Sus scrofa: one gene and its partners. The protein of the gene in region 1 interacts with the protein of each later gene in a pairwise test. Links are inferred from orthologs where the notes say so. Each region holds a gene or a part of one and is shown in the gene's direction. Other genes may lie near its edges.

Region 1 (4,011 bases):
CTTCTCATGTGCCAGATGTTAAGATGAAGGAGGAATACAACACATACACAAGCCTCAGCTGTTTAAATATGTTTTTACCGGGGCTCAGTTTTCTCAGATGGTATTTATTACCAGTGGCAAGCCTAACTCCTTAGGTTTACAGGAAGTATGCATATTTTTATAAAACAATTGTATGTCCTCCCCATATTTTGCTGTATTAATATTTGCCTCTAACTAACAATTTGCAGCTGTTTCACCTTTTCCTCATTTGTCTCTTAGTCAAAGGCCTTGTTGGAGGGGACAGAGCACAGGAACAGCCTTGATAGTCTGTAATTATTGTACAAATATTTTAATAGCATATAAATAAGTATATTCCTTTTATTTTGAAAAAATCAGACACTGCCTTTTGTGTGTTTGCTGCCTGTGGCACCCTTTTTTAAAAGACTGTTACATATTAAAATAGTGTACATATATATAAATATTACCTCTTTTGCTGTACAGTTGTGATAGACCAGACGGAAGATTTTATTTTTTGTGTGCTTTTTATAAAAAAAAAAATTAACACACTAAAGAAAATCTTGCTGATGTGATTGTAATGTACCTATGTAACTTATTTACTTTTGAATGTTCTTCTGTATCTTTAAACCTTTTATTAAATAAGGTTTTAAAAATTCAGAGTTGATTTCTGTGTCCTTTGGGGGAAAGATTTATTATCTCACCATCTGGGATTGTAAGTGTGCCTTGGTTTGCTTCCAAAGGATACTTGACATTTTTGAACCATAAGGCCTGTTTTATCCATGATGCCAGGGCAGGGGAAATAACACATTAGTGTTTGCCGGGTTACTATTCATAGAGATCTAGATCTTTTTACAACATTTTAGACAAGAAGAAGTCTCAACTCACTGGGATAAAATTTAGAGGGTGCAGAGTGCAGTCAGGTGGTACAGGGTATTATACAGCATTGCCTCTGAACGAGCGACGCGAGTAGACAAGTCTTTCTTGACGGCCGGATATCATCTTAAATCCACTCCAGAATTATATTATCTTTTAAACACAGTGCTTTGTTAAGAAAAAAAAAAATCTGGAAAATGCGAAAAAGGAAATGCGCGGTAAAGGAAATTAACGCCCGCGGCCCCGAGCTGCCACCATGGCAACCATTCGCCCCTGCAGGCCGCTAGAGCTCCGGCGTCTCGCGTCGGTGGTTGCCGTGGCTACGGTCGCGCGGGCAGGGCCGCGGGGGGCGGGGCGAGGCGGGTCGAAGGCCGGCCCCGCCCTCCACTGCGGCAGTAAAGGCTAGGCTGGCTGCGGGTGGGACCGAGGTACAACTGTGCAGCTCCAGCCCACCTCGGCCCGCGGTCGCCTGCGTGCGGGGCTGCCGCGGCCTGCCTGCGACTGCGCCTGCGCCTCCTCTAGCCTGGCTTCCGCGTCTTTCCTGCGCCTCTGCTGCCTGTGTTCTTGGTCCTTGGCGTCCTCGCCGCCCAGAGGGATACGTTTGCCCACGAAGAAGCTCTCTCGGGTTGGCCTCGCTGCCGCCGCTGTCTTTCCCTTAGGACAGTCTTTCCCTCCGGGGGCGGTACTAGTTCTTGTCTGCGGAGAAGCGGCTCCTAGCTCGTCTGAGGCGTGCTCCGCTCTGGCAACGAAAGCTTGCACCCTCTGGGAGCAGCAGCGAGTGCCTGGCGCCCAGGCTGCGAAGAGGCGGCCACGTCCCGCGATCAAGCCCTGCGGCTCCTGCTTTCGCCGCCCGCCTTTTTTCCTCGCCTCTGCGCTCCGACGCGACACCTTCCTGTAAGTGGAGGACCCGGCCTGCGGATCCCGACCGGAGACACAAGATGGCGATGGCCATGTGACTGAGCATCCCCGAGGCTTCGTTCCGAGAACGCGGAGGCCTGGCTTTGAGGGGCAGCGAAAAGAGGAGAGCAGGACACTGGTGTCGTTTGTTAAACGTGATTGACTCCCTCGGGCATATGGGGGGAGGTGGCGGTGGGAGCGTCTGCTATTGTCTTCAGTTTTAGAGCACAGGGAGCCACAGTCTAATTGTATTTGTAGAATTGGGGCCCTTGATAGTTGGGAAAATGGCGATGACACTGCTGGAAGATTGGTGTAGGGGGATGGATGTGAACTCCCAGAGAGCCCTTCTGGTCTGGGGGATCCCTGTGAACTGTGATGAGACCGAAATCGAAGAGACCTTTCAAGCTGCGATGCCCCAGGTGCCCTATCGAGTGCTTGGGAGAATGTTCTGGAGGGAAGAGAATGCCAAAGCAGCCTTGTTAGAGCTCACTGGTGCTGTCGATTATGCTGCGATCCCCAGGGAGATGCCAGGTAAAGGAGGGGTCTGGAAAGTAGTCTTTAAGCCCCCCACTTCCGATGCTGAATTTTTAGAAAGGTTGCACCTCTTCCTAGCAAGAGAGGGGTGGACCGTGCAAGATGTTGCCCGTGTCCTTGGGTTTCAGAACCCCACTCCGGCCCCAGGCCCCGAAATGCCGGCAGAGATGCTAAACTATATTTTGGATAATGTTATTCAGCCTCTGGTTGAGTCCATATGGTACAAGAAGCTGACGTTGTTCTCGGGAAGGGACATTCCGGGGCCAGGGGAGGAGGCATTTGATCCCTGGCTGGAGCACACTAATGAGGTCATAGAGGAGTGGCAGGTGCCTGATGTAGAAAAGAGGCGGCGGTTGATGGAGAGCCTTAGAGGCCCTGCCGCTGATGTCATCCGCATCCTCAAGACCAACAACCCTGCGATTACCACCGCTGAATGCCTGAAGGCGCTGGAGCAGGTGTTTGGGAGCGTCGAGAGCTCTAGGGATGCGCAGGTGAGATTTCTGAACACATACCAGAACCCGGGAGAAAAATTATCTGCTTATGTGATTCGTCTGGAGCCTCTGCTGCAGAAGGTGGTTGAGAAGGGGGCCATAGATAAAGATAACGTGAACCAGGCCCGCCTGGAGCAGGTCATTGCCGGGGCCAATCACAGCGGAGCCATCCGAAGGCAGTTGTGGCTGACCGGGGCTGCTGAAGGGCCGGCCCCCAACCTCTTCCAGTTGCTGGTGCAGATCCGCGAGGAGGAGGCCAAGGAAGAGGAGGAGGAGGCTGAGGCCGCCCTCCTGCAGTTAGGCCTGGAGGGGCACTTCTGAGTCCCAGGAAAGGGGGCGTTAGTTCAGACCTAGATCACGGCTGCTTTCATTGTCTCTGTGATGTCTTACAGGTGTGTCTCCTGCTAGTAAAGACTAAGCGGTGTTTTTTGTTTTTGGGCGGGAGTCCGGCCTGGGTATTCATGTGTCATTAGCACAATCGTGCAGGGGAGCACCAGATCTGCTGCAGCGCTCGTGGGTCATGCTAGCTACAATGCCAGGGAAAGGCTTGGACGTGAGTCCTCATTGCAAGCTATCATCATGGCACCATCATCGGTTGTGAAAAATGTGGTCTCGTGACTCTTCCCATCAAGGTAATTAAATATGAAATTGCATGTTCAGATGTATAATGAGTGCAGGGCCTGGATACCAAAAGAACTGTTCAGTAAAAAATGTCAACTGTTTACTCTTAACTGTGGTGAATAGTTTTTGTGTCTACCGTAAATTGTTCCTGGTTTATATTAATGGAAAGAAATGTGAATAAGGTATTATTCAGCTTTACAGTGCAGATTTCTTACTGTACATCTTTAAAGATCTAGATCAGTTTAATTGAAAAGTGTTCTGAGACTACAAAATGGGGTGTTAGAACGATACTGCGCTTACAGGGCTGTGTAAATCAAGTTTTCACTGTGTAAGATGCAGATATAAAATGCATGGGGAGGTTAATAGGAACCAGTTACAGCATCTATTCCCCCATTTCAAATCTTTGTCATTGAAGAGTAGTTTACCATGTTCATGCTGATTCTAAATGTTTTAAATTCGAAGTTATCAAATACATGTATATTAATAAAAATATTTTTTAAATTCTCTTATTTTTCTGCAACATATAAAAATTTTCAGTGTAATTAAGCTCTGTATCTTCATTTTTTCAGGAAGATTTCCCCCATCACTAAAAAAATCC
Region 2 (4,111 bases), about 73 Mb from region 1:
CTATTCACACCTCAACCCCTTTTTTCAGAGACAGGAAATTCTCTGGGGTCCCAACACTTGTGTGTAACCGGCAGGTCTTGACCCATTAGTCCTATCCACATCCCTAACGCTCCCCAAGGCCAGGCCCCTCTCTCCTCTATGTCAACTCCAGCAGGGCCTGCGGCTCAGATTCCCTACCCCCGCAAGTCTCCGTTTGTCCCCGGCCCCATTCCCAAGGTTTCCGAAGTTTCTTTCCAGGCAAGAGCTAAGCTCCTCTTTTTCTCAAAGTCTGGGGATGGCAGTTAGGTCCCTTTCACGGGAGTCTCCTTATCCCGCCTCCATCCTTCAGACCACCCCCTCCTTCCTTCGGTCCCGGACCTGGTCACTTCCTTCCCCACCCCCACATCAAGGCACGGAGACCCCTTGTGCCGCGCCCAGGAACAGGGGACGCGGCGCGGCAACGACCTCAGACTCACCGGCTGGACGGGGACTGGGACCGGGGGGGCGGGGAGGGGAGGGGAGTTTCTGCTTCCAAGGAACCGCGGCGACGGCTACAACGCAGGCCGCGGATCCAACCGCGGCAGGCGAAGTGGGGCGGGGGGAGTGGAAACTGGGGAGGGTGGGGAAGAGGGCAACGCGCAAGCGCTTAAAATCGTGCGCCGCGGTGAACGCCGGGAGATGGAGTCCTCGGAAGCTAGAAACTGGCGCAACTGAGAAAGGGCGAACTACGAATCCCAGGACGACCCGCCCACGACCCTGGTGTCGCGAGGCCCCTGAGGGAAACGCTCCGGGGCGGGGCGTAGGGAGCCGCCACCGGAAGCGGAAACGCAGTACCGTGTTCTGGGCCAGGGAGCCTGGGAAATATAGTCGAGTGATCTTATCACCGTGGGGCTGAGAGGGGGCGGGGAAAGGAACAAGACAGGCTGGATCATTTACTGCCGCTCCCTCTCACACAACGAGCCTCAGGCGTGCGGCCCTGCTACCCAGACCATTGACCTCATCACCGACCAGCTGCCTGGCCCTTATCGCTTGTGGAGCCCCCCTGTCCGAGTCAGCCTGCCAAGGAGACCCTCAACGGGGCCCATATTTCACTCAAGGGTTTGATCTCCTGAGGTGGGAGGTGAGGCCGGGTTCCGCGCTGAGGGACCTGGGTAGGGTGTGCTGGCTGAGCTGAGAGGTGTGAGAATCGGGAAGGTCCCGTGCGCTAACCTGAGGTGGCGCCAGCCATTCTGTTGCTCGTCCCCTTGCACTTCTCCATTTCCTTTTAAGGCTTGAACAGGGCCTTCTGCTGCGGGTGCTAAGTGCGACCTTCCAACCCTGGTCAGATTAATGGTGAGGGGCTGCGTGACTATTTCATTTCACGGCTTCTGGGCATTCTCCGCCTCAGGGCCTTTCTTAACCCAGAGGGTGGTTTCCCAGGTCCAGAAAATGAGCTTGGAGCGGGGGCCACGTTGAGGGAGGCGAAGAGCATTGTGGGGGCGTTAGGTAAAAGCAGGACCCCAACCGACAGATATTTCTCGATCCTCGCGCTACCAGGGCACGTGGCGTTTTGCGCTTGTGTTATTGGAAAGATTCCAGGGCGGGAAATAGCCCGGAGCAGCGCGCCTGCGTGCTCCAGTATTGTTTTTGTTTGTCCCCCGCCCGCTCCCCATTCAGCTGCGCATGCGGCTTTGACTGTGGACGCCTTTGCTTAGAGTAGCGCCATTTTGCAGTACGGAAGCTGCAAAGCAACGAGTGGAACCTCCCCGCGAATCGGCTTCCTGCTTCCGGACAAATGTCAAGTCTGTTTTTGTTTAAGAATACCCCGAAATAGGATCCAGGAAGATTTAAAGAGCCAGGCTGATTGTTTTCCTTAATGGTATGTCCCGCGCAGTTGTAAAGTAGTTTCAGAGAAAGGCTGTTATTATTGATGGTGAGGATGGAGTGGGGGCAGAGCACAGGACTTCTGGGCAACTGTCTTACAGAGTCTACTTTGTTAACCTTTACTAAGGGGCATGGTCTGTTACCATAGGGTTTCCTATTTTTACACAATCCGTGGTCCTCGGGGTTCACTTTCCGCGTAGGAGGGTTTTTGTTTGTTTTTGTCTTTAGGGCTGCACCGGTGGCATATGGAGGCTCCCAGGCTAGAAATGGAATTGGAGCTACAGCTGCTGGCCTACACCACAGCCACAGCAACGCAGGATCCAGCCGTGTCTGCAACCTACACCACAGCTCACAGCAACGCCGGATCCTTAACCCACTGATCTGAGGCCAGGGATCGAATCTAATCAGGTTTGTTAACCACTGAGCCACGAAGGGAACTCCCGGGAGGGGATTTTTGATTCTAAGGATACTTGTTTTTATCCCAGCAGGTGTCTGTAGGTGATTCTGGTCATTGCAGGACCATCTGGGACTTGGCTTCCCCCTGCCTAATCTCATTTTCCCAACTCTCCCCAAAGCCATGTCCGGGTCCTCCCTCATTAACTTTACCCCAGCCACTGACCCCAGTGATCTCTGGAAAGATGGGCAACTGCAGTCACACCCTGAAGAGCTGGAGCCCACCCTGGATGGGGCTGCAGCCCGGGCTTTCTATGAAGCTTTGATTGGGGACGAGGACAGCACCCCTGAGCCCCAGAGATCTCAGCCTGAGCCTGCTAGAAAGAGGAAGAAAAGACGAACGATGAGGGAGACTACAGCAGGAGCATCAGGAGAAGATGGACAAAGGAGATCCCTTGAGGCAGAGGACAAGATGACCCAGCAGATACTGAGGGCAGCCCAGGAGGGGGACCTGGCAAAACTGAAAAAGCTGTTGGATCCCCATGAGGCAGGGGGAGCTGGAGGGAATATCAACGCTCGAGATGCTTTCTGGTGGACCCCACTGATGTGTGCTGCCCGAGCAGGCCAGGGGGCAGCTGTGCGCTATCTCCTGGGCCGTGGGGCGGCCTGGGTGGGGGTCTGCGAGCTGGGTGGCAGGGATGCTGCTCAGCTGGCGGAAGAAGCAGGCTTCCCTGAAGTGGCCCGCATGGTCAGAGAGAGCCCCGGAGAGACAAGGAGTCCAGAGAACCGGTAAGGGGAAGCCTTATCTTTCATTGTGTTCTGCCCTTCCTCACACTTCACACAGGAGGCCACAGAATAGAGCCAAAGGGTTTACTTTCCTGTTCCCTAATGTAGGCTGATCGGGCAGTGTGATTATGAACAGGATACTCCCTTGGATTATTTTTTATATAAAACATTTTTTTCATTAAAAAAAAAATTGGGGTAGTTCCCATTGCGGCTCAGTGGTAACAAACCCAACTAGTATCCATGAGGACGAGGGTTCAGTCCCTGACCTCAGTGGGTTAAGATCTTGGCATTGTCGTGTGGTGTAGATCTCACATGAGGCTCGGATCTCACATGGCTGTGGTTGTAGCATAGGCCAGCAGCTACAGCTCTGATTTGGCCCCTAGTCTGGGGACTTCCACATGCCGCAGGTGTGGCCCTAAAAAAGACAAAAAAAATTTTAAGTTTTTTAATTGAAGTATAGTTCACGTATATTTGCTATATTCCCACATTGCATGGGCTCCTTGGGTTTAAATCCTGACTGTACTTACGTGGGCAAGCAACCTAACCCATGTGCCTCAGTTTCCTCATCTAAGAAATGGAGCAATAAAAGCACCTTTCTCTTAGGGTTGTTAGGGTCAAATAGGTTAATATATGTAAAGTGCTAGAAAAGCACCTGTCCCATACTAAGCACTATACCAACACTAGCTATGGTCACTATTGTTATTTTTCATCACCCAAGAACTTTGTGAAGCCTTTTTAACATCTGTTGGCTCAACTATTCCCTTTTGGGTCTCTTATCATGAAGTGGGGAGGAAGGCAATTTGTTCCTCAGCAGAAATACAGGAAGGACCTAACCCTGCCACCCTCCTGAGGCCTCAATCCTTGTGTTGCCCTTAACCATTCTTTTTTCTTTGCAGGCCCCGATCCCTCTCCCCCCAGTACTGTGAGACCTGTGATGCCCACTTCCAAGACTCTAACCACCGTACATCCACCGCTCACCTGCTCTCACTGTCCCGGGATCTCCAGCCCCCCAACCTGCCCCTTGGGGTGCCTACCTCCAGCCCAGGCTTTAAGCTTCTCCTAAGGGGGGGTTGGGAGCCTGGAAAGGGAC
Region 3 (4,002 bases), on another chromosome or scaffold:
ACGTGTGTCATACCTGTCACTCCTGTCACACCTGAATCCATAGGTCGGAGAGCACAGGCCCTGCAAACAGTCAAACGAGCTCTGAAATTCTGCTCATGACTCCTTAGCTGTAACCTCGGGAGCTTACTTTAAATTGCTCTAAATCTGTTTCCCTCTCTGTAAAACAGACATAAAAGGAGTCTGCACACCTGTGAAGAGTAAATGAATGTTTGACATGGCGCCAGGCACTAGGTAGCAGTTAGGAGAACTGGCTCTCCTTGAGCGACCAGGAATCTGGGGAATACAGAAAAACAGAGAAACAAGCTGAAGTGACCCTGTAACACAACCAGCAGTCTCAGAGCTAAGCATTCAAGCACCAGACCTCAGGTGGGCCGCGAAAGAGGGACCATAGGGTACGGAATCCCAAGGGCAGGATGCCTCAGACCCCTGCCCTTTCCCCAGGGACGAGAGTGGCCTACTTCTCTTGGGCTGTGATCCTGGACACAAGAGATGGGCACGACTTCCAGAGTGAGTCCGCCTGCCTCCAGGAGAAGGTTGTAACCTCTCCGAAATTAAGCATCTTGAAGGACAAGAATGCCAGCCGTCTGCTACCCTCTTCTGAAGACCCTGCTCTTACCCGAGGCCCCTTCCTCGTCCTCTAGCGCGCAGGACCTTCCAGGCACCGCCCAGGGGCCAGAGGCTGCACCAGCAAAGCCCTCCCCTGGGCAGCACCCTCCCCGCGCCAAGACCTGACTGGGTCTGCGGATCGGAGTCGGGGTCAGAGTCCTGGTCCCGGGGGGGGAGTCGGAGTTAGGGTCGGGGATCCAGGCGGGAGTTGGGGTCGAAGTCCTGGTCTGAGTCGGGGATCCGAGCAGGAGTCGCGGTCAGGGTCGCATCTGCGCACGCTCCACGCCCTTCGGGCTCTCTCGCGCCCTCCGCGGCCTTAGGAGCCGCTGCGCCAAGTCCTCCTGGGAAAAGCGGCCCGGCGCAGAGTCCTGAAGCCCTCCCTCCCGCGTCCGCCCGGCTGCAGGTCTACTCGCAGCGCTCTGCACAGTGTGGCGCCTCAAACCACCTGCGAACCTCTGCGGGATCAGAGACGCAGCCGGCCTGACTGCGCAGGCAGCCCGGACCGCGCAGGCGCCCCGAGGAGGCCGGGACCGCGCAGGCGCCCCGGGAGGCCGGGACCGCGCAGGCGCCCCGGGAGGCCCGGACCGCGTAGGTACCGCTTCCGGGTCAACATGGCGGCGCCGTGGCTGCTGCTACGCGCTCTCCGCCCGGGGCCAGGGCCCGGGCGGGGGCGACTGCGGGGCTGCTGCTCAGGCAGGAGCCCGGGCTGCTCCGCCGGGGTCGGGTGGAGGTGGCTGTACGTGGTCCACAGGCCTCCAGTGGGTTGTGTCGGGCCTGGAAGCCGAGTCCTGCAGGTGAGGTGCGGCCCCTGGCGTGGTGCTGCGGGCGGTGCCGCTCCAGCTGGCTGCCCCCGGGGGAGGGGCGTGGGCGAGGCCGCACGGCCCCGCCTTGGCGTTTTTCTAGCCCTGGTTTTGTGTGTTGCTATCTTCTGCTGCTTTTCATAGCGCTTTGGAATTGAGTCGAGTAAGACTTCCATCACTTTTTAGCAGAGCACAGTTTTGCACTTGGCTCGCATAGATCAGATGTCACCAGGTTGAATTCCAGCGCCTTCCAGATGCTCTTAAGTGGGCTTTCTGAAAGTTTTGTTTGTGAGAAAAACACCTGTAACTGTTTTACTTTTGTGCTGTAGCTTGACTTGTGAACACAAACTCATTGACTGTGTAAAGATTGTTCCAGGTCCTGTGAGGTCAACATTTCACCCTGAAACAAAGACCTTAAGTCCTGGTGCTTTTTAGCCCTCTTTTAGGTTATGTTGTTCCATTTTACCATAGTTTTAGGACCAATTTCATATTTTAATTCTATTCTAGATACCTGGCCACCCTGCCAAGGCAACTATAGATATATTGCACTTTTTGTTTTTGTTTTTTTATTTTTTTGCCTTTTCTAGGACCGCTCCTGCAGCATATGGAGGTTCCCAGGCTAGGGGTTGAATCGGAGCTATAGCCACTGGTCTACGCCACAGCCACAGCAACGCGGGATCCAAGCCACGTCTGCAACCTACACCACAGCTCATGGCAACGCCGAATCGTTAACCCACTGAGCGAGGCCAGGGATCGAACCCACCACCTCATGGTTCCTAGTCGGATTCGTTAACCACTGAGCCACAATGGGAACTCCGGTTTTTTAATTCTGTTGAGGAAAATCATATCATCTGTTGTCAGACTCTGATCATTCTATGAAGATAAAGGCCGAAGTAGGCAGTTCTCATGTACTTGTGACATAGAGCAGATTACCTCACTAAGGGCTGTAAGAGTAATCAAAGTATGTGAGGTTTAAGCAAATGGTATTTAGGGCTGACTGTGTTCTTTGTCTTGGGGAGTTTTTTTTTTTTTTGGCTCTACCCACAGCATTTGCAAATTGTCAGGCCTTGAATGGGACCGGCGCTGCTGCAGTAACTGGAACCACTGCACTTATAACACTGGATTCTTAACCTGCTGAGTCACTAGGGAATTCTAGGGCTGATTTTGAAGAGTGACCCCCCCCCTTTGTTACTATTTACCACACTAATGTTATTCATTTACTTGGCCGAGTTTCCCTTATATGCCTTCTTGTCATCACTGAACCAAGAAGAGACTTTTTTTTTTTTTTTTTTGCTTTTTAGGGCCACACTCATGGTATATGGAGGTTCCCAGGCAAAGGGTCAAACTGGAGCTGCTGCCGGCCTACACCATAGCCACAGCGACGAAGAATCCGAGCCATGTCTGCGACCTGTACACCACAGCTCACGGCAACACCAGATCCTTAACCCGCTGAGTGAGCCAAGGGATGAACCTGTATCCTCATGGATCTTAGGTTTGTTAACCACTGAGCCACGAAGGGAACGCCCAAGAGGAAAACTTTTAATTAAAATCAACAATAATAGTGAAAAGTAGGAATTTTCAACCTGTTGCTAGAAGGAAATCACACGTAACATCTTCTTTCTTAAGGAGCAGCCCTTGCCAAAGAGCGCTCAGAAAGGTGTTACTTTTCTCTGTAATAGCAGCAAACTGGGGGTGAGCTAAGGAAAACAATTTAAAAAGAATAAAAATAGATGCAGAAATTGCTAACACATGGAGTTCCTGTCCTGGCTTAGTAACCAGCCCGACTAGTATCCATGAGGACTTGGGTTCGATCCCTGGCCTTGCTCAGTGCGTTAAGGATCAAGCGTTGCCGTGAGCTGCAGCGTATGTGGCAGACACGGCTCAGATCCCTTGTTGCTGTGGCTGTGGTGTAGACCGGCAGCTGCAGCTCCAGTTTGATCCCTAGCCTGGGAACCTCCACATGCTGCAGGTGCGGCCCTAAAAAAGAAAAAAGAAAGAAAGGGGGAGGAGGAAGGGAGGAAGGAGAAAAAAAGAAAAGAAATTGGCAATGCAGAGATAGAAAAAACTAAACTGACCATCACGGCAAAAGCATTCAGGTGGGAAAGCGGCACCTGGGTCCTGGAAATGTGCTCCAAGGAGTGTTTGTCTGGAGCGGAGAGTCCAGGCCTTCGCTGCTGTTTCCTGCGGAAGAGCTGGGCGCCGTGTTCAGCACCTTGCTTTAAGCATTTCTTTGACATACTCACTCTTGACATTTTTATTTATTTTTTGGTGATGTTGTGTTAAAACTTTGAAGCAACGCTCAGAGTATTACTTCGTATTTCAGGCCGTGGTGTAAATGTTACAAATATATAACTCCCCGCTTTTAGGAAAGACTTGGCACCCCGGAGTTCGTCCGAGTGGCCTGGGCGCGCTGCGGTACTGCTGGATTGATTCTCAGCATCGTTCTTTTTTCTTCAGAGTTTCCAGTTGCGACTCCTAACCCCCACCTTTGGCGGGATCAGCATGTTGTTGGTGAAACAGCATCTAGTCCAGAATCCAGTAGGACTCTGGAAACTTTTAGGTGTGTACATTTTTTTTTTTTTTTTCCCCTTTTCTG

The links. The genes of interacting proteins can lie anywhere in the genome.
Region 2: the proteins of PNMA1 (region 1) and GPANK1 interact in binary tests that used the Homo sapiens proteins (3 or more experiments, as listed by UniProt). The two-hybrid records come from large-scale screens. The link is inferred for Sus scrofa from reciprocal best matches to the Homo sapiens genes PNMA1 and GPANK1.
Region 3: the proteins of PNMA1 (region 1) and SPG7 interact in binary tests that used the Homo sapiens proteins (3 or more experiments, as listed by UniProt). The two-hybrid records come from large-scale screens. The link is inferred for Sus scrofa from reciprocal best matches to the Homo sapiens genes PNMA1 and SPG7.

What each region holds. Positions count from the first base shown.
Region 1 is NC_010449.5:97,049,058-97,053,068, reverse strand, and holds PNMA1 (paraneoplastic antigen Ma1), read left to right. Parts: upstream 1-1,211; 5' UTR 1,212-2,051; coding exon 2,052-3,113; 3' UTR 3,114-3,919; downstream 3,920-4,011.
Region 2 is NC_010449.5:23,777,547-23,781,657, reverse strand, and holds the start of GPANK1 (G patch domain and ankyrin repeat-containing protein 1), read left to right. Parts: upstream 1-1,311; 5' UTR 1,312-1,837; exon of another isoform or gene 1,838-2,250; intron 2,251-2,327; exon of another isoform or gene 2,328-2,330; 5' UTR 2,331-2,419; coding exon 2,420-3,024; intron 3,025-3,917; coding exon 3,918-4,111.
Region 3 is NC_010448.4:436,407-440,408, reverse strand, and holds the start of SPG7 (paraplegin), read left to right. Parts: upstream 1-1,202; 5' UTR 1,203-1,217; coding exon 1,218-1,400; intron 1,401-3,863; coding exon 3,864-3,966; intron 3,967-4,002. UniProt on the Homo sapiens protein: Catalytic component of the m-AAA protease, a protease that plays a key role in proteostasis of inner mitochondrial membrane proteins, and which is essential for axonal and neuron development.